Linked DNA regions of Tamandua tetradactyla. The protein of the gene in region 3 purifies or fractionates together with the protein of the main gene of each other region. This does not show direct contact. Links are inferred from orthologs where the notes say so. Each region holds a gene or a part of one and is shown on either strand. Other genes may lie near its edges. The genes, in order: RBBP8, EDC3 and USP4.

The links.
Region 1: the proteins of USP4 (region 3) and RBBP8 purify together in Homo sapiens (affinity purification with western blotting; 3 studies listed by BioGRID, with this or other methods). This does not show direct contact. The link is inferred for Tamandua tetradactyla from reciprocal best matches to the Homo sapiens genes USP4 and RBBP8.
Region 2: the proteins of USP4 (region 3) and EDC3 purify together in Homo sapiens (co-immunoprecipitation; 3 studies listed by BioGRID and IntAct, with this or other methods). This does not show direct contact. The link is inferred for Tamandua tetradactyla from reciprocal best matches to the Homo sapiens genes USP4 and EDC3.

Annotation. Positions count from the first base shown.
Region 1 is NC_135344.1:60,618,344-60,629,465, forward strand, and holds the start of RBBP8 (DNA endonuclease RBBP8), read right to left. Parts: upstream 4,427-11,122; 5' UTR 4,090-4,426; intron 3,936-4,089; exon of another isoform or gene 3,583-3,935; intron 1,669-3,582; 5' UTR 1,569-1,668; coding exon 1,460-1,568; intron 1-1,459. UniProt on the Homo sapiens protein: Endonuclease that cooperates with the MRE11-RAD50-NBN (MRN) complex in DNA-end resection, the first step of double-strand break (DSB) repair through the homologous recombination (HR) pathway.
Region 2 is NC_135338.1:67,334,211-67,344,766, reverse strand, and holds the start of EDC3 (enhancer of mRNA-decapping protein 3), read right to left. Parts: upstream 4,906-10,556; 5' UTR 4,729-4,905; exon of another isoform or gene 4,611-4,728; intron 4,580-4,610; exon of another isoform or gene 4,428-4,579; intron 1-4,427. UniProt on the Homo sapiens protein: Binds single-stranded RNA. Involved in the process of mRNA degradation and in the positive regulation of mRNA decapping. May play a role in spermiogenesis and oogenesis.
Region 3 is NC_135341.1:36,907,425-36,918,503, reverse strand, and holds the start of USP4 (ubiquitin carboxyl-terminal hydrolase 4), read right to left. Parts: upstream 5,107-11,079; 5' UTR 5,047-5,106; coding exon 4,946-5,046; intron 4,727-4,945; exon of another isoform or gene 4,672-4,726; coding exon of another isoform or gene 4,601-4,671; intron 3,078-4,600; coding exon 2,950-3,077; intron 1-2,949.

The DNA.
Region 1 (11,122 bases), on a different chromosome or scaffold from region 3:
TTCACTCAATCACTTTGTTAGGGCATATAGTTCCCTATAGTTCCTTGAATAAAACTAAGCTGTTATTGCTATGCTTTCTATATACTAATCTCAGCTCTCAGAACAATCCTTTCCCCCTCCTGCCTTTTTGCCTGGTTGAGTAGACTTAATCAACTGTAAAATCTGAGAGTAAACCATTTCCCCTTCCCCCAGAATACCCGAGTCTTCCCTTAATGTTGCCAGACAAGATGGTACACTGCACTAAAATCATATGGATCGTCTAGACTAAAAAATCCTTTCAAAACTAGGACTATTCTGATTCATCCTTCACAAGGTCTGATATATATAGTTAAGTGCCTGAAAAGCATTTCTTGCACAATTGTCTCCAAGTACACTGGGGCTTGTAAGAAAACTACTTTGGGAGTTCATGTTTTAGAAACCATTGATTAATGATGAGGCTATTATAATGAGGCGCTGCCAGAAATTAAATTTATCACATGGGAAGACTCTAATATTAAGTAAAGAATAACTCCTATATAAATATATATTTTTTAGGTGCATGGTCTGGGAATCAAATCCGGGTCTCCCACATAGGAGGTGAGCATCGACTCACACATTTTACTTTACAATCAGGTAAATCATGTTTTAATAACACTCAGCATGATGTTAAAACTATAAACTATAAACCACTGTAGTATTAAACTGATGGTTACAATAGGTAATAAAAAACAAAAAACAAATGCAATATCAATTTCTCATACAAGCAGTGTATTATATTAAATTCACAGTATTTTATATATTAAACAATATCGAATCTTGAGCTTAGCTTAATAGAATTCCTTCATAAGGTGTACATTCTAAAATGCCACAAATAATATTTATTTACCCCAAGAACAATTGCTTAATCCTCTGTATTTTGTAGCACGTATTACCTTTTCAGCTCTTATTTAATTTGTACTATAATCATACATTTACATGACTATTACAATTAAACTGTAAGCTCTTTGAAGGTAAACTGCCATTTGCCTTTGTATCTCAGTGCTTAAGAGCAAACAGATTTCAAAAGGTTTTTTGAATGAGTTAAGCAGTATCTTCGTATCTATAAATACTCCTTTGAATAAATATTGCAAACCCATTTAACAGAAGAAAATTAAATTCAGAGGTTACGTGATGTGATCACACAGAAAGTAGGTGAATGAAGAGAATTAAAATCCAGGTCTGCAGACACCAATTTCTATACCCATTCCACCACACTATACATATTACCAAAATTAACTACAAGTTGTATAAGAACTGTGTCCCATAGTAGTAGTCTATAGTTAAAAAAAAAAAAAGCAACAACCATAAAAATGACAATGGTAAAGTTCACTTAAAGTTCAGATCTTTCTTCCTTCTAGAAATACACAAAAATTACTCAAAAAGTTAGTTATTACTAGAACAGTTTTCCAAAATACCATCAGTATTTGAGAAAAGATTTTACCTTGTACTTCTTTATCATGATACTCCTTCAGTTTTGTCCAAAGTTCCTTGAAGTCATTAGATATATCTGCAGAACTAGGACTTCCAGAACTGCTTCCAGATATGTTCATCTTGCTTAATATACTCCACACTTTTATTTGCCTAATATTTTCTGACCCTTTCTTTTACATTATATAGATATGAAGTTGCCTGTGGAGACCATTGATATATCTGAAACAAAAGATTACAACACAAATGAATTTTGCATGATTACTCAAGGACAAAACACAAGCCCAGCTGTCCTCATGTTTTCTTTATTTACCTACAATTCATCACTTTAAAAGGAGGGAGGGAAAAATGAGGGAAGATTAAAGTGAGAAGAAGCCCTGATTTCAGTAATTCGTTTTTTAGTTAAGCTAAATTTTACCTAAATTACGCTAAATTGAAAGGATCCTGATATTGAGAGGTTCTTTTTAGCATAGGCAGGCTCCCAGAAACGAACCGAGCATGGCAGGCAAGAACTCTGCCACTGAGCCACTGCTGCACTGCCCTATTGAGAGGTTCTTGATTAACCATGGTCAGTACTGATTTAACATTAAAAGACTATATTGCTTTTTAATTTTTGGATTGATGTAAGGTGCAGCAATATGTCGAATCCCAAACTGGAAAACATTCTGAAATATTCTTGTATTAACAAGTACCAACATGTATATACATATCTATATACATATAGACATATATGTGTTATAAGAGAGCAAGACTAATGACTGATGTATTAATACAAATGGGCTCTGGATAGCTTTCTCATAAGTCAGTGAGCAAAATACATATACAACAAAGTTGTATAAGTATAGAAGGGAAAGGCAATTAAGGTAAAGCTCTTTCGTGCCTCTGTCAAAGTAATGGTGAATGATTAATTTTTATTTCTTGTGTAACCAATAAAGAAAGTGACAGGGTATTAAGAAGTTCAAGAGGATTAATAAATTATTTTAGGATGTGTTCTTTAAACTGAAGCCACTAAGAAGCTACTACTAAAAAAGGAAAATGAGTAACATAGTAAATAAGCTATGGTCTTCTAACCCAAGAAGGGTTTTGTGTGAAGCCACTTAAATTATAAAGCACCGCAGAAATAAAAGTTAACTTTTATTAAGCATTTAAAAAACTGGGATTAGATTTTTTTAAGACAATGAGTGAAAATAATGTGTACTTGATTTCAGATATTTGGAATTTATTGCTCATTTCTTGTGTATGATAGAATTTTTTTTAAATGTCCTAATCTGTTAAGGAGTATATACTGAGGTACTTACAGGTAAATGACATATTGTTTGGGATTTGTTTTAAAATACTCCAGCTAAAACAAAAAAATGATTTTGGATGGGGAGATGAAAGAAGGGCTGAGCACTGGCAATTATTAAAGCTGGGTGATGATGAATGGATATATGAGAGGGTCCATAATTCTAGTGTTTCTTTCTTGGGTATGTTTATATTTTCCATTACAATTTTTTAAAATGAGATTAAATGCACTGCATTAACACAGCTTTGTTTCCAAAGAGGCTTGTATTCTACTATTTTTAACACTAAAAAAATAATCAGCCTGTATTACCGTCAATAAAAGTTACCATTTATTATTTACTATATGCCACGGACTGTACCATTTTACATTCACCGTTTTACTTAATCCTCCGAACAATTTTATAAAAGTTATTATTATTAATTTCATTTTAGAGAGAATACAGACATTTGCGACCTCCTCATGGTCACAGCTAGGATTACATGGCTATGTCCGGGTTGAAACAAGTGATACCAATAACTGCAAAATAATTCCTCTTTGTGGCAAAAAAGGTGTATGTGTGTGTGAAAATTTTTTCATTAACTAGTTAAAAGAACAGCATAGTATTAGTTTAAAACCGAGTATAAAATACTTCTCCTTTAAGAAACCCCTCTCTATTTAGACAGTAAAAAAAGGGCTATGTGGCTTTTTTTTTTAACCATTAAAACACTTAATACTAAACTTACAAATTCCGGTTCACGAAAACCTCCCCAATCTATGATGCAACGTCCAGTATTGACTGGCATCACTCCTAGTGCCCTGAACCGTTACTCATAGGACGATGCTCCTTAACTTCTCAGAAATGTCCACCTTACCTCCCAAGTGGCAATCCGGGTTCGTACGTCTGTATAATTTGGTAAAATTTAATACACCGCCCCGGGCAGTGTAAGCCACCAAGCTGAAGGTTCTTAGTAAAATATCTGTTTCCTGTCACACCACACGTATTCTCACACAGGTGGGGCAAAGGACGCGCCTCGAATCACACAGGAGACCTAGACAGACTGAGCAGGAGATCTGAGGGGTCATCTGAGCAAAGCAGAGGTCCGGGTTCCTATGCCAGGCCCCTTAGCTATCCGCCTGTCCTCAGGTGCCGCGCGAGTTATGCGGACGGGTCCCCCCAAAACACCCGGCGGGCTTTTGCCAAGTGCGACTGGCGCGGGTAGCGCGCGCGGAGGCGCAGGACGTAGTCAGCGCAGGCGCGGGGCGGGCTCGGCGCTGGGAGGCGTTTCCTCAGCCCGCGCGGGAGACCAAGGGAGCTGGAGAGGAAGGGCCCGTCCTCCCGCTGGCGCCCGTGGGCCGACTTCACCTTGGCCCCAGCCTACCTCCTCGGGCACAGTCGGAGAACCGCAACACGCTCCCGCACCCCGGGAGTAAACCCCGGCGCTTAGCGCGCGCTCCACCCTCGACCGGAAGTAGCAGCTACGACCGGGGAAAGGGGGAGGAAGCGTCCCCTTACCCACGGCTCCCAGTGCTGCCTCGAAATTTTCGAAAGACCAGTAGGGAGGCGGGCGCCTTCGGGGACTGTGAAGAGACGGCCGCTTGCTTTTTCCTCTTTTTGCACCAGACAGGCACTCCCAGCCCGCGGTTTGTTGAGGAGAAAGTCGACGATCGCGGGCTGAGCTCACCGGTGGCCGAACCCGTCCCGCCCGGGGCCGCGCGACGTCGCGCGGGAGTTCTCGCAGCGCCACGCCCCTTCCTCCGGCGGTGGAGTCTGGCTGCGCCCCCAGACCCACGGGACGAGGCAGAGCGTGTGCGGGTGAAGGTGGACTAGGACTGGCTTTCGGGAGCGGCTCAAAGGGCGGGCCACGCCAAAGCGTCTTTGAGATTCCCTGGAGACGACTCAGGCCGTTCTGTCAGGAGAGCCTTAAGTCCCGGGTGTTAGGTGCAAGGTACCTTATGGTGTATCTGACTTAAATTTCGAGGAAAGCCTGTGAGTGACCTGTACCAAACGGAAAGTTAGAATGAACTGATGGGGAACGGACACGGATCAATCCGTAGTTTCTGCGTTGTAGCTTTGCCTATCGTTTGGAAACTGAATGTTATAACCTGACAAAACTCCATATATTAAAACGAGACTTATTTTGCTGAGATTAAGTTGAAAGTTTCTGGCGAACCTGAAAAGAGAAGGAATCAGAAGTGACCAGCATTATTTGTTGGGACAACTTGCTGTTAGGTAATGTTTAAAATAAGGTCAGTTTTTCCTATGGATGCTTCTTTATGATATTCAAGCTGATGGTATGTTTTACTCTTTATCATGCTTTCTAACAGAAGCGGTTTTGGACCATTAGGAATTTTACAAATGAAACTGAAGAAAACAGACGGTGAACTAGAATCACAACATTTTAAAAACTACTCCAGTACTTTTCTGTAATACTTCTAAGCATGGGAAATGGTCAGAGTAGTATTGTAAACTTGTTTTCTAAGTAATGTTTAGAAAATAATAAATAGAAAGTGTAAAATTAATTTTTCTGCTCATCCTAGCTCTTAAGAGATGAGTAACAACTTTCTCCTTGAAATTGGACATTGTAATGGGACATGACGCACCATTCTGGCACTGCCATACTTGGTATTTTTAAAATGTGTTGGTGAACCTTCATTACCTTGTTATGGGAACCATCATTTATTCACTTCTAAATTTTATGACTTAATTCATAACACTTTTAATGAATGAAAAAATTCCCTATGCTATTTTTCAAGGCCACATAGGAGGAATAATGGGCAGTGAAGCTTGTATAAATGTTTATGGTGGAATTGGGGCGTTTTTGTAATAAATGGAAAAAGTCTATAACCAGTTTGTCAGATAACAGCATATGGACAGAAGGCTGTATTTGTGGTCCAAAGGAAAACCATCATAGGGGAATGACCTAACCTGTTCCTCTGTCCTCTGCCAATGGCTCCACTGTCCAGCCCATTTATGAAAGTCAGAATCCAAAGACTCAGCCTTGACACCTTTTACTGCCTTAACCTCCTTATTCTGCCCAGTCCATCACCAAGTCCTGCTAATTGTACTTACCAAATATCTCCCAAATCCATGCACTTCTCTCCATCACCACGATAATTCAAGATACCATGATCTCTTACCTAGTCTTTTGCTGTTCTACCCAACTAACTACCCTACCTAAACTTTTCTTTTCAGTGATGTTCAGAAAAATTTGTCAGCATCTATTCCCAATTCATATATGTATATATAATTTAAAATTGCACAAATGGTGCGGGCCATGGTGGCCCAGAAGGCAGAATTCTCGCCTGCCATGCCAGAGACATGGGTTTGGTTCCCGGTGCCTGCCCATGCAGGGAAAAAAAAAATTTCACGCATGCATTGCTGAAAGATGGTATATAGTCTGAGTCACAGTCTCTGCCAGTCAGAGCTCTTGGATTTGAATCCTGGCTCCAGTACTTCCGGAGTGGCCCTGGGCTAGTTACCTCATTCCTCTGTGTCTCATTTTTCCTACTTATTAGAAGAGGATAATAATAGTACCAACCTCACAAGATTATGAAGATTTACTGAGTTGATGTATGTAAAACCGCTTAGTAGTGCCCATAAACATAGTATAAGCTCAATAAATGGTAGCCATTATTAGTACTTGTGAGCTAATAGACTGAATATTATAACATATTTTTAGAGGATAAGAAAAATAGAATAGAAATTTAATATTAACTCCTTCTCTCACCTAAGATTGTGTCCACTTTGAGATCATTACATCTACTGTGATCTTGGAAAGTAAATCTGATGTCATTATTGCTGCTTAAAACCCTTCAGTGGCTTCCTGTTACTTTGTGAAGAAAGTCACTTTGAACTGCCTCTACTGCATCTCCAGCTTCATTTCCAAATATACTCTGCCTTCAGCCTCATTGGCCTTTTAGAGTCTTGAGAGCTAGTCTTCTACGCAAAAGGCCCTTTGCGTGCTGTTCCCTATACCTGGAATTCTTGACCAAGCCCGTCCTCTTGCCTAGCTAATTACTGTTCATCCTTTTATCTTGTTTCAGTGGTCTCTCCTATTAGGTGCTCTTACAGGTAGGACTTAGCACAGGATTCCCCATTTTTCATTTATCACAGGTTTATTTAAATGGTCATTTATTTAAATTTATTTCTCTTCACTATACTGTTTCTTGAGGTCAAAACCGTGTCTTGTTCATCATTTTATCTCCAGAAACCAACCCAGTGCCTGCCTAAAATCAGTACTTTGTGGATAAATGAATGAATGAGAAATCTCTGGATGGATTTCTGTTTTTTATATATGTGGAAACCTTTGGGTGTTTTCAAAATTCCTAGATTATCTTTTTAAAGTTTTATAATGGTCACTTTAACAGTAGAAATATCCATAGATATTTACTCCTCCCAAATAGCTTTAAGACCCGTATGGTGGAATAAATTATGAAGTACCCAAAGATTTGCTTAGAAAACGTCCTTAAACTGAGGAGTAATTATTTTGAACTCTTTGTAATATTGGTTTTCCTATAGTTTATGACTTTAAACAATGATCCCAATTTTTTCAATCATGGCATACTTAGAAAATGAATATTTGTATTACATATTTTGATAAAAGGTCAGAGGTCTTCCCCAGGCCCAGCACTTCCACCCTTAGGGCTAGGGAGTTTAACGGTCTCAGCACACCTATAACCCATTTGAGGCCCCTGGTTAGGATGCTTGATTTAAAAATTGTTAGAACTGTAGAATTTTGGAACTCATGTAGATTTTAAAGTCATCTAACTTAGGCTGTTAAAAATGAAATTCTTTGTTGATTCTATAACCTGTACTTAACTCCTACAACTGGGTAGCTTAGCATGAAGGGAAAATCACATAAGTTAGACTGGTAACGCTTTTATTACTGGTTTCAAACCTCATGTAGATATCAGTTGATCTTTAAAATAGCATTTGTTCAGATTCTTCTCCTATTTCCTTTGGTGTTTTCCAAACCTTCACTATTTTCTTCAAGCTCCTGAACAGTGTTCTTTTAGCAGACAATCCAACCTTCTGGTTAAACAAGACAACAGGTAGGGCTCAACAGATGTGATCTTCCTAAACTTCCCTTTTCCTTTCTCAACCCTGTGAATTAGGCAATACTATTTTGCAGATAATACAGCCTGAATCCACTTGTTTCTTATCACCATCTTTGCCTCTGGTCCAAGCCACAGTCATCTCAAACCTCTTTAACAGCAGCAACCTCGTATTTTTTCGGTCAACTCTCTGCTTCCACTGTTTTCCCCAAATAGTGTACTCTCTGGCAGCGTTGAAAGTGATCCCTTAAACTTTAGAACATGACGTTCCCCTGCTCAGAACATTCCAAGTTCTTCTTGTCATCTTAGACTAAAATCCAAATTTATTTCTATGGAGTCAGGACAAGTTAATCACTGTATTCTACTGACGTTATCTCCTAAATATAATTTTGAATTGATACTTTCCTTATTCATATTGCCCTAGTTGAGGCCCCAGTGTTTCTTACCTATACTGTAGCATCCCTGCCTCCAATCTTGTTCACTTTAATCCAGTCTCTCTACAGAGCCACTAGAGATTGAAACCAATATTTCTGATCTTGGCACTCCCCTGCTTAAAACGCTTCAGTGATTCTCTGTTGCCTAAAGGTTAAATGCCTAATCCCTGTAAAATGTTGCAGAAACCTTTTTTAGCCTTGTGTACTCTACCTCACACTTCATTCTTTCCCTCTATCAACAGAAAACTACTTTTGTTCCTGTCTCTTCCCCTCTTCTATTTCTTTGTCTTGGCTCATACGGTCCTTTTCTCTTGGAATTACTTCCACCTCCATCCTTTACATTTCACCTTTCTACTTATCCTTTAAGACTAAGCTTATGTAGTATTGCTTCTAGAAGACTGACAACTCTTTTACCCCTCTTCCTAGACTCTTCTACTCCCACATATGGCCCTCCTCCTTCTTCCATACCACTACACATACCTTTATTATTGCATTTAATGCCCTAATATTTTAGTTATTCTTGTATGTTTTTATCTTCCTCAACTGCCTGTGGGCTCCTTGATGTCAGAAGCTGTGCTTTCTTTATTCTTTTCAATATTTCTAGTTCTTACCAGAGAGTCTAAGCATAGAGCTATCCAATAGAGCAAAATTTATATAATTTAAAAGTTTCTAGTAGCTACATTTTAAAAATAAAAAGAAGCAGATGAAATTAACTTAATATGTTCTTTTTAACCCAATTTATCCAAGATATTATCATTTCAACATGTAACAATTAAAAATTTATTAATAAGACTTCCTTTTTTTTCTTCATACTAAGTTTCCAAAATCCAGCATGTATTTTACCTTTATAGTACATGTCGATTTGGACTAGCCACATTGTAAATACTAAAAGCCACTTATGGCTAGTGGCTACTGTATTGGATAGCACAAGTCTAGCAATATAATAAACATTTGAATGTTGAATGAACAAATGAGGTTAAATGATTTACCTAGAGAAACATGATAGATTTGGGACAAGGATACAGATTCTAGTCTAGTTAATTTTCACTGTTTGTGCTGGGCATTTCCTATCTCTCCCGCTCCCCACCTCAACCCAACCCCATCAGTGATTATCTAGGCCAAAAAAGAAAAATTAAATGATTAAACCCATTATAATTATTCACATAATACTTTCTAGGACCTCTAACATGAACACGTAATTTACGTAATACTGGTAAACTGGGGTGAGCTATATACCTGCAGTCAGAACTATATTAAGAATAAGGCAAAAGGCTGTTTGAATGATAAGAAGGAGGAGGAGCTTTAAGACAAAAGAAAATTATGTTAACTGTTAACATTTGTGTTAACTTAAATGTGTGGAATTTAATTTTTAAAAAATTATTTGCAGTAATTACTAAATATTTGTGGGTGAGAATATATATTAGTGATCTTGCCCCAAATACCAAAATATCTTCTTTATGATTTGAGTTCAGGGTGCCAAGATTCCAATTAGATTTAGCCATTTTATAATTTTTTAAGATATAGTTAATATTCATGGAGAGTCTCCAGAACAGTTTTATTGTGACAGTCATTAAAGTGCTTTTAATGGACATTAAAGAGAGAATACCTTGCTGTGGTAGTTAGATTCAGTTGTCAACTTGGCCAGGTGAAGGCACCTAGTTTTGTTGCTGCAGACATGAGCCAATGGCATGTGAACTTCATCAGTTGCTAATTACATCTGCAGCCAGCTAGGAGGCGTGCTTGCTGCAATGAATGACGTTTGACTTAATTGGCTGGTGCTTAAATGAGAGAGCTCAATGTAGCACAGCCCAAGCAGCTCGGCATTCCTCCTTTTAGCACTCGCAGCTCTGCCCAGGCCTTTGGAGGTGCAGAAAGGAATCACCCTTTCCAGGAAAGTTGTTGGAACCCAGAGGCCTGGAGAGAAGGCCAGCAGAGATTACCCTGAGCCTTCCCACGTAAGAAAGAACCTCAGATGAAAGTTAGCTGCCTTTCCTCTGAAGAACTAACAGAATAAATCCCCTTTTGTTGAAAGCCAGTCTGTCTCTGGTGTGTTGCATTCCGGCAGCTAGCAAACTAGAACACTTGCTTTCAATGAAAAAAATTAGCCTTATGTATTCTGGCCCTCTTCCAAGCTTTATTTATTTGATATTCACTGTAGTTACATTGGACTAATACCTTTGTCTTTCCACTTTATAAACTGTTAAAATAGATTTTGTTTATTTTTAAACATCTTTCACATGGTACTTCATTTCATGTCAGTAATGGGCAGTTTTTAATATATAATTTGCCCGATGTATAACTATCCCTTTATTCTTTTTTTTTTTTTATTCCTTTATTCTTGATAGAAGGTTGTACATAGTTTATTGATAGCAGCCTGGGTTTAAATAATCGCAGGCTGATCAAACTGTAAGAATAAGTCATTGACATTTGGTGCCTAATAATTAGCATTCCTCCACAGGTTCACAAGAGCAAGCATGCTAATATTCATTGCTTTGTCGTCTTCAAATAAATAATGATTCATGTCTTAAATGGTAATGTTTCTATCTGTGATGAATTTATTCACAGCTGGAAAATAGCTATGATCTTTAATGTATATATGTGTATCTACAAATACATCTTCAAACACACTGGCTAACTTTGTTAAATTTTACCCTATTCTAACCATGCTTGAAAAAAAAAAAGACCATGTTTTAAATGCTGGCTTTTTGCTTTTCCTAATCCATATATTAGTCTGGGTTAAAGACACTTTGTTAGTTACATTTCCAAAATATTTTGTGTTTGTAATTCATTTCTTACTTTCCAGAAACCTATAACCTCCAGATCAATTTCTATGCCAGGTAAGTCCTGAAACCCAGTGGCTCCAGCCTCTCCAAGAACATCAAATGATTCCATCCCCTTATCCCATATTATTGACAGGTCTTTC
Region 2 (10,556 bases), on a different chromosome or scaffold from region 3:
TCTGAAATCTGTTCTGCAAGTAATTGTTACAATGTGCTTTGGGGAGGGGGGGAGGGAAAGAAACTGCCAAACAGTTTTCAAAGATGGTATTTTATACTCCCACCTACAATGTATGCAAGTTCCTGTGTTCCATGTCCTCACCAACACTTGGTATCAACACTCTAATTTTATTCATTTAGTTGAGAAGGCAATAGTTTTGATATCTTCCTAAACAAATTCCTTATGTACTCTTATTTCACTGATACTGTTTGTTCCCCAATTATTTTCCATCATTTCTAAGGTACTGAAATGATGTTGAACTCAGAAACTTAGCAAACTATTACTCAATCAGTATCTTGTACCAAAGTTCATTTGATTCTGCATCCATTTCTTAAGTATCTCCAGAAAGGACCCTTTAATTCATTTACTACTTTGCTCAGATACTACTAAGACATTCCATTCCTCTACTACCTCTTGTATAAAGTTTGGTGATAGGATTTAATGTACCATAAAAGCACATATAATTTTCCTAAAAATTTTATCCATGATAATGAATCAAATACCACCACCTAAAAAAGAACTAATTCTTTTGTGTGGTACTCAACAATGTTAACAAGTTTCACAAAAACGCAATGTTGGTGCATTCACCAGTCAACACTTATTCTACCACTCTGCAAAGAAAATTTATCCGAGCAAATTATTTGTGTAGCCAGGAAGGGAGACACAGATATCAGATCATCAGGACTTTCTAGATTATTTTTTTTTAATGGGACAATTTTGGTCTAATGCTAAACCGTCAGGATTTTCCGACTACAAAAATATTATTTCTCTGGTAAGAGGCCTTTAGATGACACAGTCAGGTAGCCCTAAATGGACTTCCACCTAATATGCAACTGAAGCAATTGACAAAATGATCCATAAAGCACAAAAAAATCATTTGTCAACCATAGACCTAGCTACTTCTATCTCACTTGCCTCATCAAGTATAACTCAGTATTCAGATTCAAGGAGCAACCTCTTGGCCTAAGACAACCATAATCAACAGCTATAGATAGATGGGTACTTGGTTAGTTAGGGACTTCTGAAAAGCTAGATAGTTTCCATGTATCAGGAAAGGTTTTTGTAGAATCAAAATCTTGGGAATGGCAAAGACCTTAATAGAAAACATCTAGTACCATCCTAGCACAAAGCTCAGACCTTCCACAAAATGCAACATGGTACACTTGCGTCTGATGCTCCTTTTATCTGCAGTATGGACAGATGAGTAAAACATATGGATTAAAAACAAATAAATAATAGGGGGAACAAATGATAAAATAAATTTAGTAGATTGAAATACTAGTGATCAATGAAAGGGAGTGGTAAGGGGTATAGAAAAAAAATAGGGGAAACAAAGACTAAAATATATTGGGTAGATGGAAATATTAGCGGTCAATGAGAAGGAAGAGTAAGGAGTATGGTATGCATGAGTTTTTTTCTTTTTATTCCTTTTTTTGGAGTGACGCAAATGTTCTAAGAAATGATCTTGGTGATGAACATAAAACTATGTGATGATACTATGAATCACTGATTATATACCAAGAATGGAATGCTCATATGTTAAGAATGTTTGCGCCTGTATGTTGTTATATTTATAAGAAATAGATAAAAAATAAAAATAAAAACAAAAAGTTTAAAAAAATGCAACATGGAACAAAAGGTTAAGGTCAGACAAAGACATCATATGAAAAGAAAACTTCAGACCAATATTCCTTGTAAAAAACTCTTAATAAAATATTAGCAAACTCGGGTAGGTCACAGTGGCTCAGCAAAGCAGAGTTCTCTCCTGGAGACCTGGGTTTGATTCCCGGTGCCTGCCCATGTCAAAAAAAAAAAAAAACAACACAGCAAACTCAATTCGGCAACATATAAAAAGTATTATATACCATGAATAGAAGGGGTTCAATCCAGGAATGCAAAGTTTATCATCTGAAAATCAAGGAATAGACTATATTACATAATTTTTAAAAGCTTATTTGCATATTTTTAAAACAAAATTGCTACTGTATTTAAATAATTTTGTATTTAACTAAAAATGTTAATATATTTGCATGTCAGAAATTACATTCCAAGCTATTTAAATTTATGACAAAAAATTTCAGATCCAACTTCAAAGTGTGAAGGAGATACACTGAACTTCCAATCTTTTGGGGACTCTCAAGCAAAAATGTTTTAAGACCACTAGCCAGCCTATACCTGAAAGCCTAAAATGACAAGGGAAAAAAAATCACTCATGCCAAAACAATGCTATTACATCTTGTCAGCCAACAAAAAATTTTTAAAATGTAACAAATTCTGACTTCTTTTTAACTCCTACCCATAAATTTACTCTGTGTAACCAGATTTAAATCTAATATTCCATTTAAACCTAATATCCTACCTGGCTTGCATAAGTGATTACATTGTCCTAATATGATCTACTAATGAAGATCACATCAATTTCTTTCACAGCCTAACTATACCACTGATTCAGACTAATGAAGATCACATCAATTTCTTTCACAGCCTAACTATACCACTGATTCAGACGGTGTTTGTCAGTAGTGTTTGAGGTCCCACATCTTTTTATTACATGAAGCCCTCCCTGCTACCCTGCTAAGTAACATAATTTTAGACCCAAGTGGAATACCTCACATTTATCCAGTTCTTCCATCTTAAATTTGAGATTTTTTATGATGACTTTGGCAAGTCATCAACCAGACGACACTTTCTCTTCATAAGGCAGCAAATCTGATACGTACACCTTCCAGATAAGGTTTCAAATTCATACTGTGTATAGAGAGTCTCAGCTATAATCATCAGCATCCCAGCGCTAAGTTGTGATACATCAATAAATCAAACCCCTCTAGACACAGATGCTGGAAGTCATGATGTCACCTAATTCTACCACCTCCTGGCAAATTCGCTCTCACCTACCAGGCGACCAAAAAAAGACTTAACAAGCCTTGCTAAAATTATGACACCATGGAGACAATACACCATTGAAATGCAAATTTATGTATCCTCTGCTATTGTCCTGGAAAAATTCAGAACTCAAATAACCTTGCTCTTCTGCCTGATAAGAACAGAAAAATGAAACATCTTCCATTTTGTACTAATGGCAGAATCTCAGTAATGACAAGACTCTTAACACATATTCTAACCCAATATTATTCAAACCTCAGGTCATGACCCATCGGTGATCACAATCAATTTCTTAGGTTGCAACCAACCTTTTTTTTCTCTTAATGAAACAAATGTCAGAAGGTATCATCTGTAGAAAGAATAAGTAAATTTTGTTTCATTGTGTGTGTGCGCAGGCTCATGCATGTAGGAGGCACTCAAAGTCATCACGAAAATGTATCTAACTGTGGGTCAGAGATCAAAAAAGTTTCAGAGGCACTTTTCTGGTACCATAGCCCTACCCCAAAAAGTGGCTCCACCCAAAAAATTCTTAAGTGGGGGAATATATGGGAACTCTGTATTTTCTGCATGATTTTTCTGTTAAAAAAAAACTTTTATCAAAAAGTCATGTTTTTTGCAACCATTTCACTTCATACAGAGAAATCAACAATTAGGAGTTTTGTATTCAATATACCTAAACCTGCCATTCAAATTAAAATCCATCTGAGTTTTCCAATTGAAATTTTGAGCTGCTCAAAGAAAGTCACTTTTTTTGTGTGTGAAAATAAGACCTATATTTGAAAGACGACAAACTAAAATTAATTTAGTCTGTTGTGAGGAAGGAGAGGGGAAAAAATCCAGGTCTGGAGTGCCTCATCCTGTAACCAGGAAAGAGAATTGTTAATACTCTTTTTAGCTCTAGAATTTGGAGATTTATTGAGGAGCAACCGGCCAATTGATAAGTCAATATCAATTCAGGGTACTAATAATAAGAACGGCAGATTTACACCACAGGCAGGAAAGAATCAAGGGTAAGTTCCCGGGATTTAGTAGAACCTGCGCCCTGGCAGGTGTCTCCTTCTAGACCCGGACTCATCTCTGTCCTGAATCTACTCATCTCTGTTCTGAATCTATGTCATGGGTGAGTCACTCACGCGCTTCCCTACCAACCTCCCTCATGGTGCAAATGGAAAGTGAAGTATGGAGCAAAGTATATAAGCAAACATGTGAACTGCAACAGCCACCAACAAGGCGGGACTAAGAGCCCAGGCTGCTAATGCCTCACAACTCAAGCTACTCCCAGGATATTTAAAACCGCGCTGTCCTCGGACTCCCACCTCAACTCCTAGGACATCCCCTAATAACTGCCCCCCCACCCCGCCCTACCGATGGGGCCTCCAGTTCGTGTATGGCTCTGTAAAAGTCTACAAGGCCGGAACCCGGAGCCTAAAGACAGAACCGACTGGCAGCCCCGGAAGCCCCCTCCCACAGGCACAGACAAATAAGCCAACTCCCCTGGTTCCCACCTCCGCGCGTCCGACCCGCGCCCCGGCAGCACTCGACACCCAGACGACCGCGTAACCTGTGTAGGAAACAGGGATTGAAGAGCTTCTCCACACAGACCCCCACAAACTCCCCCGCAGGAAGCACCTCGGCGTGTCGGCGCCACCGTAACATCACTTCCGGCGCGACGCCTTGCAAACCGGAAAACCGTTAAGGGGCGGAGCGTCGGGAAATTTGAGAACTTAAAAAAGAACGCCGCGAAGACCGACTTTGGGGACTTCCGTAGCAGCTCTTGGGCGGCCATTTTGCGCATCGCCTACTTACTTCGGGCTGAATCCTGGCTAGAGTCGAGATCCTGCCCTCTTTCCCAAGCCCAGTCATCTGAGCGACTCCACACTCCTTTGCAGGCTTGAGGGAAAGCTTCCAATTCTCCCCAACCCCTCTAATCGAGCAAGAGCGGAGGACTTACCGACGCTCCTGGGAACCTGAGACCCGATCCTTGCTCAGTCGTTGCTGTGAGTCGCAAGAAGTAGGCCAACCCCGCGACGACTTAAAGGAAACAACAATTCCTTTTGTGATTAATCCTCAAGTTTAACAGCTTTACCCCTTTTGGGGGATTAGAGTCAGCCTGTCTGGTTGGCTGAACCAGCCCACAACCACTCTCCTTGCTTTTAGCAGTTTATACTCTTGATAGTCTCAATTTCGAAAAACCATGCTTACGACCAATACTGAGTGTAATGAGGAATTTTCTAACTTAAAGTTTACAGGAATATTTGAAGTCTGACTCCTGTTTGGGGAACCACTTCTTATCAGGTAACATAAAGTAAACCATAAAAAGTAGTGGTTTTAAAACTTGGTTCTACAAAACCAGTTGAGGAATTTTATAGACTTTACATTCCCCAAGGATAGCGTCCTGTTCTGCGCCCCGCCCTCTCTCTCCCCACCTCACCCTCCATCACCAAGAATATACAGTATTATTAGGTGTGGAGGGGCCTTGGCATCTGTTTCTTAAAGTTTTTTTTCCAGTAAGTTGCTGCGCACACGGATTTGAGAGCCATTGGTGTTTCCGATTCAGGATTGAATCCTGGCTCCACGTTTTTTTTTTATGTTCAGATTTGTGTTCATAATTTTGGAACAAATATAATAATGAGTCCTTATAGTTGTATAACATGTTACAAGTTTGAAAGTACTTTCACATATACCACACATCCTTGTAAGTTAGGCCGAGTAGGTGTTATTTTCCTATTAGGAGAGGAGAACAAGTATCAGAGATTAAATAAAGTCACACAGTTGGTAAATGATGAAGCCAGGACTGGAACCAAGACCTTTTGACATGCTGCCTCCCTGAGAACATTCAAGTTATGATATCCTATGCTATATAATCAACATTTCTCTCCTTTGATGTTGGTCAGATTGTTTTAATAAGTTTTATACCACCTATCCCTAATACCAAAAAAACAGAGATGGACATTCCTACCTTGTTACAGAACGATTTCTCTCAGAATTAACCAGCACCATCCTATGGTGAAACTAAGCTTTGAGGCTCCTTGGCTATAAATTCTAAATTATATGAACAATTTGTTTTAGAAAATGCGAAAGTATTACCTGCTCTACCATTTAAAAACATGTTTTTCTACAAACCAGAGGTGTACAATTCTGAAGGCAAACTGGAGATGATAGCTAAAGTGGTTGTGAACTTTAAATCGCAAAATGTGCACCTGCACATGGTTGATATTCCTAAAAGACTAGCTAATTCTGTTGTGCCTCTCCAAGCCTCCCTCACCCCTCAGTGCCCAAAACACGGAAATTGAGGGGTTCACTCCTCCAATGCCTCATCTAGTTGTTTCTTTCACTGCCATTTTCTCTGGGCTCTGATCATCTCCACACTAATACATATCTAGTTCTACACAGTAGGTGTGTTTTCTCAGCAGAATGTAGAATTCAAATTAAAGCAGAATTGGGGAAGGCGATTGTGCAGTAACACTCTTCCAAACACCTTGTCCTTGCTGCAACTATTAGATATAGAAGTTGACTCTATACTGTGTTAAAAATAAACATTAGTTTGGAGGGTGGGTCACAGTGGCTTAGCAGGCAGAGTTCTCGCCTGCCTGCTGGAGACCCGGGTTCGATTCCCGGTGCCTAACCATTCAAAAAAAAAAAGTAAACATTAGTGGGAGCAAGGAGTATACACCATATACTGGAACTTCTTGTATTACGAGAAAGCAAAGAAGCTGTGAAAGACAAGTAGGTGTTCTTTCTTTTTTGCAGTTCTGTTTGTAAAAAAATTTTTTTGTTAGTCAACTCACAGGTTTTCAGAAAAATAATGCAGAAAATACAAGAGTGGCCACATAACACCACCCCAAACACAGTTCTCCCTATTATTGATAATGTATTAGTGTGGTACCTTTGTTTAAGCTGATGAAACATAATTATCCTATTAACTAGTGCATAGGTTACCCAAGGGTTCACTCTGCTTCAGCTATATTGTACTTTTTTCTTTTTTTAATCTAGTAACATATATACATCCTAAAAGTCTCCCTTATTACCACATTCAGATATATGATTCAGAATCCATTATCAAAACTCTTCTATCGCCTCAAACAGAAATTCTGTTAAGCATTAACTCTCCATTCCCTACCCCCACACTGGCCTCTAGAAACCTGAATTCTGTCTATGAATTTGCTTATTCTAATTAATTCTTATCAGTGAAATAATACAATATTTATCTTTTGGTGGCAACTGGGTCCCTATTCTAGACCCCATATTTTAGATGGTTACCCTTAAGCCAAGCCTTTCCCTGTGGCACCAAGAGGATATGACTATCCAGTGCTCACACCCTTCTTCAGATCCTATTGCACTTTGGGTTCCTAGGTCCCTAAATTCTCTCCCAAATGGTGCTAAGCTCACATCCTTCAATAGATAAGCACTTTTCCAGGTCATTCCTCCTAAGGGTGGACCACACCACCAATGTGCACACTACTAAATCTAAAGAGTGGCCAAAAAGATGGTCATTTAGGAGGACTATGAATAGAGCTTGGAAATTTAGGAGGAATATGGATAAAGCTTGGAAATTCAGGTTGAGGTGTTCACAAATGTGCACCTGACAGGTTCTTTACAGTGGGGTGGAGGGTAGAGGCAGTAGAACATGGGTAGAAAGAAAAAGGGTAATAAGTCAGGGATCTCCCTTTATATTCTTGTCCAGGCCATGCACATGTTAGAGGTGGGCCTACTGTGGGGCATCTGGTGGTAAATAGGATATGTGGATCTGAAGTTCAGGAGAGAGGTATGAGATTTAGAAGTCATCAGTAACTAAGCAGTTATTAAAGTGCTAATAATGGGTGATGTTTTAGTTTGCTAATGCTGCCAGAATGCAATATGCCAGAAATGGGTTGGCTTTTATAAAGTGAATTTATTAAATTACAAGTTTACAGTTCTAAGGCCATAAAAATGTCCAAGATAAAGCATCAGAAGAAAGATACCTTGACTCAAGAAAGGCCAATGGCATCCAGAATGCCTCTGTTGGCTGAGAAGACACATGGCTGGCATCTGAGGTCCTTGCTCCCAGTTGGTTGCTTTGTGCTAGTGATTCCAGTGACTTCCTCTCTAAGCATTTGTGGGTCCTGACTTAGCTGCTCTGGGGCAAAACTCGGGTTTCATCTCTTATCTTAGACTGTCTTGGAAAGGCGTATGGTGACATCTGCTGGCTCTGGTTCCTATCTAACTTCTGTTGGCACTCTTAGCTCCTGGCATCTCCTGGTATTCCTGGATAGAGGCCATGGATTCTTTTGCCCAATGTGCTCAATAACAAATTCCTGAGACACCCCAAGGTTTCAAAGAGAGAAAGTGTTTATTACTAGGCATGTCGTAGGTAAGCAGATGGCCTAGCGGTCCAAATCTGTCTCCTCGAGTTTAGGAGACTCAAGGGTTTTAAGGATTTTAGCAAGGGGAGATGAGGTCATTTTGTATAGCAAGTTAAAGCAGAAAAGGAGATAGTGCTATTATCATTCAATAGGAGAACATAAGTTGAAAGGAGGGGAAACAGGGCTATCACTTTAATAGTAAAAATATGAGCCAAAAGGAAGGGAGACAAGTTATCTTTCAATAGTAGGGCCTAGGTGATGCAATTTACAAATGTCAAGGCCTGAAGCTAGTTAAATGGCTGACTTCAAATTCTTCATTAGCGTTAGAGCCTCTCCCCTACAAGAAAATGACCGGATAAAAGGAGTAACAGCTCTTACAGTCACAAACACACAAGATAAGGGCTTTTACAATCATTTCAGATATCAGGGGAGCTGAATTATAGTTTAGGGATTTCAGATATTCCCCTGTCTATTCCAATATTCCAGAAAGCAAAAAAGGAATATGATTTAGTAATCAAAATCATCATCTCTTAAATCCTAATTTTTCAGTTACAATTTCTCCCTTTCATTTGATAATTATCTCTCAATCTTGAGGGATATCTGAGGGATGACTCTGTAACTGCTTCAAAGCTGAAAAGGAGCATTGTCATTAAGCGGCAGAAGAATGAAACAATGAAGCCGGTTGTTACTCTTGGAGGGTCCAGTATTTTGGGGTTTCAGAACTTCTCTGGCATTGAAACAATGTGGAGGTTTTAAGTCTCTAAAAAACAAATTTAATAAGTAAAATTTTATAGAACCAAGGATATCTTTGGGGTTTGCCATACTGTGGCAGTTTGTAATATCTGGCTGAAACTTGCATAGCAGTAACCTCTAGAATGACCTGTCAACTCCATTTGAAATCTCTTAGCCATTATTTTTCCCCTTTTAGTCAACTAATTCACAATTCAAGGCCAGGCTCATCTTTGGAACTTATGTCCCATAATGCCAGGGCCAGTTATGTCCCACGATGCCAGGGCCTAGCTTATACCCCTAGAAGTTATGTCCCACGTAGGAGGAAAGGTCAGAGTTTGACTTAGAGACTACATTTGAGCAACAGCTCAAATTTTCTGGAGATGACTCTTAGGCACTAATCCTAAGTAGGTTCAGTTTGCTATTACAGAAGTAATTTCATAAGGGCAAGCCTCAAGACTGAGCCCTTGTGATGAATACACAACTATATGATGATATTGTGAGCCATTGATTATAACCATGTCAAGAAATGTTTGTATGTTAAGAATGTTTGCATGTTTGTTTGTTGTTTACAATAAAAATATTTTTTAAAAAGAATATATTCATTGAATGTAAAAAAAAAAAAAAAAGATTGAGGCCTTGGCCTACTCAATTGCAAGGCCCTCTTAAGAAAATGTGAGGAATTCCCCAGGTGAGGAAGTTCAATAGTTCTATTTTTCCCAGCCCCTCAAGGGACTTTGCAAACACTCCTCCATTTTCAGCCCCAAATACTCTGAAATGCAGTATGGTATAACATTAATTTGTATAGAATATTAAGATTTTATTCTTTATTCCAGGGTCAAATAAAGCTGTATTAGGTTGTTTAAATGAACTGATTAGACATATTAAATTAGTGTGCTACAGAAAGTTTAAATTTTGGATAAAATAAACATTTTTCCTTTGGTCTTACACAAAACTTTAAGCTTTAAAACATAGACTATATATATATATATTTTATATGTATATGTATATATGTTTTGTATATATATATGTGTGTGTGTGTGTGTGTGTGTGTTTACCTTGTATATTGATTTACCTTAGTTTTAACCAGATCAGTTTCATCACATCTTTAATCAGAGTTTGATCTTTTTCAGTTTTTTTTTAACAGTTGCTGTATGGATCCATGCTGACTTTCAGAGCTGGAGAACCAAATCTGAGTCTCAGATGTAACACAGACACTTAAATTTCCAGGGAACTACTAGACTATACAAACGGTAAAGTGCCTCAGAATGTAAAGTTAATAGTCAAAGCTTATAGGGGGTACAAGAGTAGTTCAGTGGTAGAATTCTCACCTGCCGTGCAGGAGACCCGGGTTTGATTCCTGGTCCATGCACTTCCCAAAAAACAAAACAAACAAACAAAAATTCAACAAATGGTGCTGTAATAATGGGATACTCATATGGAAAAAGAATGAAATGTGACCCCCACCATACAGCATGCAAAAAAAAAAAAAGAGAGAGAGAGAGAGATTCGGAGACAGCAGAGAATGCTGTAGCACCACGAAGCAGAGTCCACGAGCCAGTG
Region 3 (11,079 bases):
ACAGGGGTGATCAGGAGTTAATGGATAATAAGTGTAGAGTTTCTGTTTGAGGAAATGGAAAAGTTTTAGTAATGGAAGGTAGTGAGGATACTACAATATTGTGAATGTGATTACTCCCAATGAATGGTACACTTGGGAGTGATTGAGATGGGAATTTAAGTTGTATATGTGTTACCACAATTAAAAAAAAAGATCAACTAAAGAGACACTGACAATTAAATGCAATCTATGATCCTGGATGAGATCTAGCAAGGGAGGAGAAAAGGCTCAAGGGGACGTTATCAGGACCTATGAAAAAAAACTGGAATATAGACTGCAAGCTTTATAACAGGTTAAATTTCTTAAACTTGATACCTGCACTTAATGTGCTTATATAAGTGAATATCTTTATTCTTAGAAAATGTTCATGGCAGTATTAAGTGTTCAAGAAACATGATGTATGAACCCACATTCAAGTGCTAATGGATTGAAAAAAAGACAGACAGAATGATGTAGCAAATGTGGCAAAATGTTAAAATTGGTGGGTCTGGGTAACTGGGGGGAATAGGAGTATGCTGGAGTTCTCTGTATGGGGTTTTATTTATTTATTTCCCCCCCACCTTTTTTTTTTTTTTTGCATAGGCAGGTACCAGGAATCGAACCTGGGTCTCCAGCATGGCAGGCAAGAACTCTGCCTGCTGAGCCAGCGTGGCCCGCTCTGTATTATTTTTTAACTATCTTGTATGTTTGGAAGTATTTCAAAATTGAAAGTTAAAAAAAAAAGAAAGTATAGCAGTACAACTCATGTGGAACTAAAAACTATATAAGAGAATTCACAGGGTGACTAGGGCTTCCCACCATCCTTCCCACCAAGGATGTGACCCTGAATTACAGGCAGGTTTCTGACATGACCCACTTCTACATTTCTCATTCCCAAGGAAAAAGGAAAGGAAGTCAACAGCCTTGGGGAAGAAGAATACCAAGAGGAATCCTCCCCATTAATGAGCAGCCAACCATTTTTAACAGCAGCAGCTCTGGCATGATTATTAATATTGACAGACCAGGCCCTTTCTGATCAGGACAGAAGAACAATCCAGGGGTAGTACTTCTCAGCTTGCTGAGACAAGAGCTTGTCAAAAAAACCCTGAAAACTAAACTAAAAAATTTTCTCTGGCTTACAAATCAACACTCATGAACATCATTCACTTATTCTTGCCTTGCTTAGAGGAATATACCCTAATCACTTCTAATACTAAGCACCACACAGATCTGGCCATACCGTGTCAAATATTAGTAAGAAACCTTTAATTGAGGGAAAAGAACCAGCAGCTTTCAGTCTCATACACCCCAAATGTATCAGTTCTACAGACTCTTTCCCCTCTGTGACAATTTTCCCAAATACGTCATTCTGATTACATTAATTGTACAAGTGCAGGAAAATTAACTGGAACTTTCAATGCAGTTCATCATTTTTACTCAAAACTGGATCAGTCCCAGGGACTCATGCTAAAAATCATACAGAACTGATTTTCTTCAACAGAGAGGGGAATAAAGGAGAAAAATGAGAGCAAAGCTTCAGTCTTAGCACAGGGATCTCACATGATTCACAGTAAGGACACAGGTAAAAATGACAGGAGTGCTCTGCTGACTACATCAGTAAGGATATGTTCTTTCTCCTCCTTCACACACTACTAAGAATTCTTTCCATTAGTCTGGGCACAAGACAACCAGGCTGGGATTAGCAGGTGACTGAAAGCCAAGGTACTGAGGGGGTGAACGTCATTTGTCAGGTCATTCCTGAATTGTCCTGCATTGTCAGGTCAGTGTTCCAGAATCTGAATGGAACATGCTTCTCACCTGTAAACACACAGCAGACATTTCAAGCCAAAGTCAGGTGACATCGAATTGAGGGACTGCAGAAGGAAATCCTACCTTTAGCTAAAGGTCATGCAAATGACCTTAGACAGCCATCTCCAGCTCTGAGTCTTATTATTAAAATTAAAAACCTTAAAAATTCTCCTTGTCAAAATAAGAAGGGAAAGCGCAAAGTGCAAACAAAATACAATGCTTCCTAACCACTCAGGGCAACTTCATAATACAGAGCTACCTAACAACCTATACCAGAAAATAAAGCAAATGACATTGTTCATCATGTCGTTTAGACTTCCCTTAAAACAAGGTTTAAGCTGAAATATTTCTTGTCTTTATAATTATCTAGGGACTTGGATCAAGCTTCATTCATTGCCTTCTACTAGCCCTGATTCTGGCTACATGTGACAGATCACTTCTGTCCTACCTGTGAGTGAGTGTACAGTTAAACAGAGCACAATGAGGGAAAGGTTGATTCTGACATCTCTGTACATTTACATGTGCAACCAGCTCAGGTGGGTCATGAATTACTTTTCCCACAGTTCCCTGTGGAAGCTGACTACGGTCTTAACAGTACTTGCCTTCCACCTCTCTTCAAATTACTGCTGTGACAAACATTGCCATCACGGGAATGTCTGATGAACGTCAATGAGTCTACAAATTCGTTTCACTGCAAAGGCAATGCAAAAAAACCTGGTTCCCAAATTTCATATTCCAGACGCAACTTCAAAATGATAACCTATTTCCAGTCTGATATGACCCTCTCATTCCCAAAGAAAAGGGATTCCATTCAGGATACTAATCTAAAATCTAAACTCTGTAGTAGGACTAACTTGGGGGCGGGGGGGGGGAGAGAAAAGAAATTCTTTTAAATAGTAGAAGCATGCTCTTGTTAGAAGCAGTTTATTTAGGTAATAAGTAGCTTAACTTCTGAAGGTCTACAAAGACTTCTGCTATAGACCCAAACCAAGGAAACTTCCTTATACCATCCTCATCTGGGGAAGTCAGGTTCACAATGTTCCTGTTACAGAAAAACATGACCTCAGGCCATGTAAACATTTCATATGCATTTCAGTTGAAAAGAAAAGCAAGATACTGTACCCGAAAAGAGTCCAGAGTTATCTATTGGACCAGGAAACAGGTCGTGTTCACCCACATTGTACATATCCCAGCTGTCGAAGCCCACATACTTCTTCCACTGCTTGAACCACCGACTGTCAATAAGATACCTAGAGACAGAAAAAATGTAATGTGGCAGAAAAGCTGAGGTTACAAGTTTCCGAGTCTGCTCCCTTAATCTTTTTTATGCTCTTTTATCTTGGCTAACACATAAGAGGCCCCATTAAAAAAAAACACACTCTCAAGAGCAAGAACAGGGCCAGGCCCCACATGGCACAGAGGGCCTGGGGCAGGAGTACAATAAGTGAAATGACTGTTCAAAGAATGAAAGGAAGGAAATGACTGGCTTCAAAAGTTTATTTAAAGTCCTTCTATGGCTAAAATCCTGTTTGCCTAACAATTAAGTAACTTCATAATGATCTTGTCCAGGTAGACAGTCTACCGTTACATTGTTTTGCTTAATGTGAAGAGTACTAATCTTTTTTTTATTTCTAGAAATGGGATTATAGTACCACTGACTTCATTTTTCCTTTGAGGACCAAATGAGATATCCAAAAACGTGTGAAAGTATCTAATGCTCACTTTCTTTTCTTACGTAGTGAAGTAAGACTAGAAGACTGTAATAATTGTGAATTCCCCTTACACTCATTAAAATGGAATATATATATGTATGTACACATATATATCAAATTAGTGTTTATGTTTGTTCAACTAGTCAAATAAGCATTAGGTGAGTTCTGGGTTCAATCTTTTGCTTTTTATACTTAAGAAAGAAACACAAACCTGAAAGTATTACTATGCTGTTTGACAATAAAGACAGTAGGGGTGAAACTGTGTGGGACAACAAAACACAACAGTTATACTAAGACCTTCAAATTTTATAACCAACAAACCTCAGAGATGGTCAGTTAACTCTTGAGGCCACAAGGATCCATAAATATACACAAACTTCTGAAACACTCTTTTCCCTCCAAACCCATTAAGCGATGCTCTCCCTATATTTTTAGTGGTTTTAGTCTATCTAAATTTTCTCTGCTTCTGCCTAGTATTCTTTTTTATATATCACCTCTATACAGGAGAACTTTCAAAAGTACCTCTGCTTTGCCCTGCCTTTCACAGCTTGGCTAGCTTAAGATGAACATGGTAAAGCTGTATCTGAACTCCTCCTAACACCCTTGTTTCTCTTCCATGTTCAATTCCTCTGTCACTAGAAATGGCATTATCATCATCACCATGTTCTTAAAGAGGGAGATGTAATCATTTTCAATTTCTACTGCCACACGATATTCTATTTAACCCGGGGATCCAGGGTTAAATCTATTAAGAAACCTCATATTTCAACCTTACTCCTCTAAATTCTGCACTTTTAATCTCCCTATCTCTAGCTCCAAGCTCTCGGCTACCCACCTCTCCCATCCCAAAATGCTGCTGCCACCATTATTTTTGACATTTGCTACCAGAATACCCTGGGGCTCACAGACATTGGTTCAGCTTCTGACCTTGATATCTGTTACGCAGTTTGTAGCTTACAATGTATCTACTTCTGATCCTCGCCCTTTAGCGAGGAGGATGGGCCAAGTACCGCTACCCTACTTTTATTAGTAAGCAAACAGGGCCTGTGAGGGGTGAATACCTTCGCGCAAGGTCACAAGGCGAGTCCTCGATAGTACGGACTGTCCCCACCCTCACAGTCCCCGGGAACATTCGTTTCCATTTCCTTACCGCTCTGCGGCGCTTGCCCAAGCCGGGCCCGCCCCCTGAGGCTCCGAATGGGACTCGACGATCCCCAACCCCGCCCACGCTTTCCCAGAACTAATCTCGGGGTTCCTTTCACGAGAGGCGGGGTCAAAGCCAACCTCTCAGGGTCATCAGATACCGCCCCGACCAGCCCCTGCCAAGCCGTGAAAGAGGACCCTGGCCTGAGAGTCGGAGTCCCGGCCCCGGCCCTGCGCGGCGGAAAGGTGGGTACGGCGCTCACCACTGCGCCCCCCGTTGGAGCGTTGTCCTCATCAAAGCCCCGAGCTCGGACTTCTGGGTCTCCGTATCCGGCAGCTCACGACAGCCACCACTTTCCGCCATCTCCTCCGCGGTCCTGGCCCAGCCGGCCCGGACATCCGCCTCGCGCACGGTGCGCTGCAGGCCGCGCCTACGCACGCACGCACGAACGTGCGCGCACCCGAGGCCACTTCGTGCTGCTTTGCTGGTCTGCGGGTCTCTTGTTTTTCGCCCGATCTCCCCTCACCGCACATTGTGCATTGCTGCTCTCCCACCCGTACACAGTGGAGCAAGGAGGGGTCTGAAACAGGAGGCGGATGGGAATAGCTGGAAACGAGTCGCCAATTCCTCCTGCCCTCCGGCCTAACTCCTGGCTGGCTAGCTGTGTGGCCGGCCAGATCTCCTTCCTTCGCTTAGGTTGGTACCTAGTGCAGACTCCGAAGCTCTGTCCAGCCTGGTAATCTCCAGGAGATAGCCTGCGAGTCCTATGACCCCTCGTGTTCCTCTTCCCGGGCTGTGAGGTTACCCTAGTCCTAAGCCCGGTGACTAGCTTTTCTCGTTTTTACTCCTGCCATTTCCTCTTGTTCAGCATGAGACCTTAAGCAAGTCGTGAATTTCCCAAACAGGCGACCGGGGGACCTGTCCCACGAGCCCTGCAGGGATTCCAGGAAGTGCCCGTTGCCGCCAAGGTCTTGGGACCAGGACTTGACCTTGTGGTCTTATTAATAGTCTGAAGCAGTCTGTCACCAGAATCAACTAGTCCACGGCAAAATTTCGCAAAACCAATGCGTTCCCACACTGAGCTTTTTCAGGGAAACAAGCAGCTACAGAGGGATAATAGCAACAGGGAAGAAGAAAAGGGGAGGTTCGAGTATGTTCTTCACCTTTAGGTGCCCAGGCATCTTCTTTATTTGTTCGAGACATAATGTACTGAATACGGTATGTATTCCACACGCTTCTCCTCCTGGCGGGGGAAGTAAGCCCAGAGCAAGGTGAAGGTGGGGCAGCTGGCATACGTGAGTCCCCATTTATTTGTCCTCAGAGAAAAATAAGATTCAGTTCGTGCCCTTAAAGAACATGTAATCTAATAGAGAAGTATCGACAAATGACCAAATGTCAACCATTGTGTTGTCAGTTCAATAGAAAAATGAACAAAACGCTGTAGGAGTGCCAGGTGCGACTCCCAGCTGTGAAGTGGAATCTTTGACATGAGTAGCATTTAAGTGTGATCTTGAAGAGCTAGGGGCACATATTACAGAAGGGGAGACTAGAAGGATCAAAAGAGAATTTCTGGAACAGGCAAGGCAGGATCACAGGGTGGGGATGAGGCCAGTTAAGCTGGGCACAAACTACTGAAAGTGCCTAAGAGGATCTAAAGCTGGAAAGGAGGCTGAAGGAACCGTATGTCTTGTCTTAAAATGGCAAGCACACATTGTAGAAGGTTTTGGAGCAGAGATAAAATGGATAAGTGTGCTTCACACCCACAGTGGTACAGCCAGGAGACTCATTAGGAAATTCTCACTGAGGAGATAACTAAGGGAGGAGAGGAGAAATAGATGAGGCACTGTGTTGGGGTGGAAGAAGGGCTGGCAGTGAGAAGGTGTGGTAGTTCATTTGAACAAATTTGCTACTTTTTAAAATGCAGTTTTAGTGAGATATATTCACACACCATACTAACCATCCGAAGTATACAATCACTAGTTCACAGTATCAAATTTGCTAATTTTACATTGAATTTTGGCTAACTAAAATTAGTTACCACTCCCTGGGACATCCATCAGGCACCATCTGGCAACAGAAGCCTCTTGGCAGCTGGTTAGGTAACGGGAAAATAAATTTGTAATTAAAATTGCCTTGAGTAACTGCATAGCACTTAATCCCCTGCATCGTATGATGATTCTACCACTGGGGAATCAACCCTGACAACCCATAGTCCCCTCCTGTGAAAGTTCTTTGAAACTGTAAATATGTTATCAAACAGAAACACTACCTTTATTCCTGTTATTTATGGTGAAAACTTTTGGGTCATGGACATTACTTAAGAACCTACATTGAAGGGTTACTTTTTCCATCTTTTTTTTTTTTTTTTTAGCAGTTTCTCCTTATACCATTATGGCATGGGTCAGAGACTGAGGGAAGTAGGACAAGTCTTTGGCACCAGTCCTGTCCCTAGAAATGAGGACAAAACCTACTTTAAAAAAGGAAAATTTCAGAAAATCTTTTTAAACCAGGAACTGTTTAATGTTCTTAAATGGCTATAAAGTAGTACACTAATTATGGGTAATTCCTTAAAAATGAAGATTGCAAAGAACCGGTGGTTAACAGTGTGAGAAATAAAGTGAATCTTCACATCAAAAGATCATCGTTTCCAAAGATTTTAAACTTTGTTAGTGAGTTTGATTAAAATACATTTTTTAAAAATTTGAGAACTAGAAACAATGAGCAAAGCCTGTGTTTCTTGCTATTGTGAGAGTGACCTATGAACTAAGTAGGAAACAGCAAGAATGAGTGACTCAGCCCAGGAGGTACCCTGGCCCCAGGACTGTGCTGTCTGCTGAGCCATTTCACCCAAGGAAGAAGTATAAATCTAGTAAGGTGCCCAGGTCAAACTCCAGGGGTGTACAACCCACCTGTTGCAAGGGAGCTTGGGTCAGAGAGAGAAAGCAGGAAGAGAGCTAGAGGGAAACAGGCTTGATTGGACACTGCTGCTGGACTTTGGACTGTGATGGTGTTCTAGTTTGCTAGCTGCCAGAATGCAACACACCAGAGACGGATTGGCTTTTAATAAAAGGGGATTTATTTTGTTGGTTCTTCAGAGGAAAGGCAGCTAACTTTCCAGTGAGGTTCTTTCTTATGTGGAAGGCACAGGATGGTCTCTGCTGGTCTTCTCTCCAGGCCCCTGGGTTCCAACAACTTTCCCCGGGGTGACTTCCTTCTGCATCTCCAAAGGCCTGGGCTGAGCTGCCAGTGCTGTGATCAGGAATGCTGCGCTGCTTAGGCTGTGCAACATTGTGTTCTCTCATTTAAGCACCAGCCAATTAAGTCAAACGTCACTCATTGCAGCAGACACGCCTCCTAGCTGACTGCAGATGTAATTGGCAACAGATGAGTTTCACATACTGTTGGTTCATGTCCGCAGCAACAAGACTAGGTATGCTCACCTGGCCAAGTTGACAACTGAATCTAACTAACACAGATGGTCTAATCAAGTATTTGTCAGGTCTGAGTGTGCAACATTTAATCTTTATTTGGTTCCAAATCATAAAGTTCTTTTTTGGCTAGGACTACTGCTTGTCTATGCCAGACTGGAGTTGGCCCTCCTAAGTCACCCTAGGTTCAAACTTGGCCAGTGATTACAAAGCATACATGGCAGACTCATTCTTTCAGAATTCAAAAAATAGTGGGCACCTTTTAATCAGAGTTGACAATGGGTAAGATTTATTTTTGGTTCCCCTTCTTGCCTATGCATCCTCAACCTACCCAGGGGACTGTGAAAAGGTAAAAGGCTCTAGAAATAGACTTTAGAAGGGGACTATGAAAAAGTAAAAGGCTCTAGAAATAGGCTTTAGAAGAACTAAATGTCTCATTAGTATTTTCTAACCTCTATTATATAAGGATTAGGTTACCGGGAAGGTGTCAGAGGTAAAAAACTGAACGAGTCTCACAGAGATCAAGTGGGATCAAGATAATTCTACAAAGGTGCAGGCAGATACATTTTCCTGCATTGGGAACTCATGCTGTTGGACAGATTCAGTTCGGTTCTGCCACTGTTGGGCAGGGAGGGTGTGGTACCCTGGACACATTTGTGGCCAGTGTCTTCTCTTCTTCCTCTAATTCCATTACCATTAATGTCATAACCATGAACAGATATTTAGATGTTGATTTGTATTTGTTGTTTTCCCTTTGCATAGAGTATATTCTTAGTAGACATTTCTTGGATTAATGAATTAAAAAGTTATCCACATATTAGTCATTCTTTCATTTGACTAATAGTACTTGAATATCTGTTATATGCACACAGTCTCTACCCTCTAGGGGATCACAACCAATGTGGTTGGAGAAGACGGCTACACCTTTAATTACAGTGTTGTATGTTGTGTGATAAAAGGAACATGGAGGTTCCTGCTGTAGACTGTTTACTGGTAAAGAAGTTTAAGTGACTGGTATAGGGAGCAAAAGCAAGTTTAAAACATTCCCTTTGGCCTTTAAGGATGGATGATGAAGTCTGCTTTAAAGGGATGCTTTAAATTCACACACACACATACACGTGCACTCACCAAATGCTAGAGACAGAAGAAAGTGGGATAACAGGTGCTTCCTCTGCAACACACTCTTCAAGAAGATTCAGAACCTCTTCACCTGCCTCCTCGTGGTCATATGGGCTGCCGGACTGTAAGATACCTCCCAGGGCAGGCTGTACTTCTCCTTGGACACTGCTCAGGTCTCTAGATGTCTGGGTCAAATGGACCTGCTTTGTGCTCTCCTCCTACCCTGGCCTTTCAGGGCACAACTATAACTGGTCTTTGCCTGCAGGATGTAAAGTCTGCCAGGCCCCTGTCCAGCACATCACTGTCATATCATGTCAGTCTCATTGGTACTTCTGAATGTAAATAACTGAGTACCCAGAAGGAAGTGGCTTTTGTTGGTGGCTTTGGTGTTTTGTTTTTGTTTGCACATGTGACAAACCTAGGGTTGAGGTCTTGGAGAGCCTAAAGCTGAAGGATGTCAGGACTCAGGGTTTGCTTTTGTGCAGCCCTCTTGGCTTTCCTTTCCTTCAGAGCCCCAAGTTGACTGGCTGCCGTGGTCCTGAGCATTCTAGATACACTCAACAACATCTACCAGCAAGAAGCAGGAAGGAACCTTCCTTTTTTCATCCCCTTGGATCACGGCGCTCTTAGAAGACCCCATACCTCCCTGCAGTCAAAGATCAGATCACTTGCCCCTGCATTTGCAGGGACTGAGAGGCTGGTTAGGAAAGCAGATTCTGCTAGCCAGCCAGGAGAAAGAGCTTTGGAATGTATGTCCAGGAGTCGTTCTGACCTGCACATATCCTCTCTGGGAGTCAGTACTAATCATGTCATTGCAGTGTAATGGCTCCTTGGGCAAGGATTTCTCTTGTTTGTGCCCCCAACTCCTAATCCAACAGTACCTGACATAAGGCAGGTGTTGAGTAATTTGTGTAGCCAGCTCTTACTTTAATGCCACTGCCAGCCCAGGCATGTCACATTTCTGTGTGCGAAGCATGCTCTTTTGGTGAGTGTAATAAAAACATACCAAATTCAGAGAAATCTGACAGGGATCATCGTCTGCTTCTTATAAATCTATGCTGTATTCTTTTTTTAAAAATAGACTAGTTTTTTTTTTTTTTTTTAGGAACAATTACAGGTTTACAGAAATATTACACAGAAAGTGCAGGGCTCCCATATACTATCCCCACACAGACACAGGCACAGTTTTCCCTATCATTAACATTTTGCATTAGTGTGGTACACATGTTACAATTAATGAATCAATATTATTAGGATTATTTCAGTAACTAAAGTCAATATTCTACATCAGTGTTCACTCTGCGTTGTATGGTTCTATGGGGTTTTTAAAATTTTTATTGTGGGAACATATATACAAGACAAAATTTACCATTTTAACTATTTTCAAATATATAGTTGAGTAACGTTAATTACATTCACATTGTGCTATCATCATCACCACAGATTACCAAAACCTCCATCACCCCAAAGAATAGGTACCCATTAAGCAATAACTTTCCATTCACCCCACCCCCTGACACCTGGTAGCCTGTATTCTACTCTCTGATTCCCTGAATTTTCGAATTCTAGACATTTCATATAAATTTCATCATACAATATTTGTTGCACATAGAGCTTCTCAATGAAATCCCTGATGCACTGACTACTGGGCAAGCACTGGCATAAATGGATGCAAATATCTCAGACAGGCCCAGTTTTGTCCCTGACCACTTGAATTGCTGTGACCACTATCTTCTCTAATCCTGAAATCGCACTTGGGGTTTTTGCAAATTATATTGTGGAAATTTTAGCTGGTATTTTTTTACCAAGTATAACCCAGAAGTTAAAACTTAAGAAATTTATTAAGTTG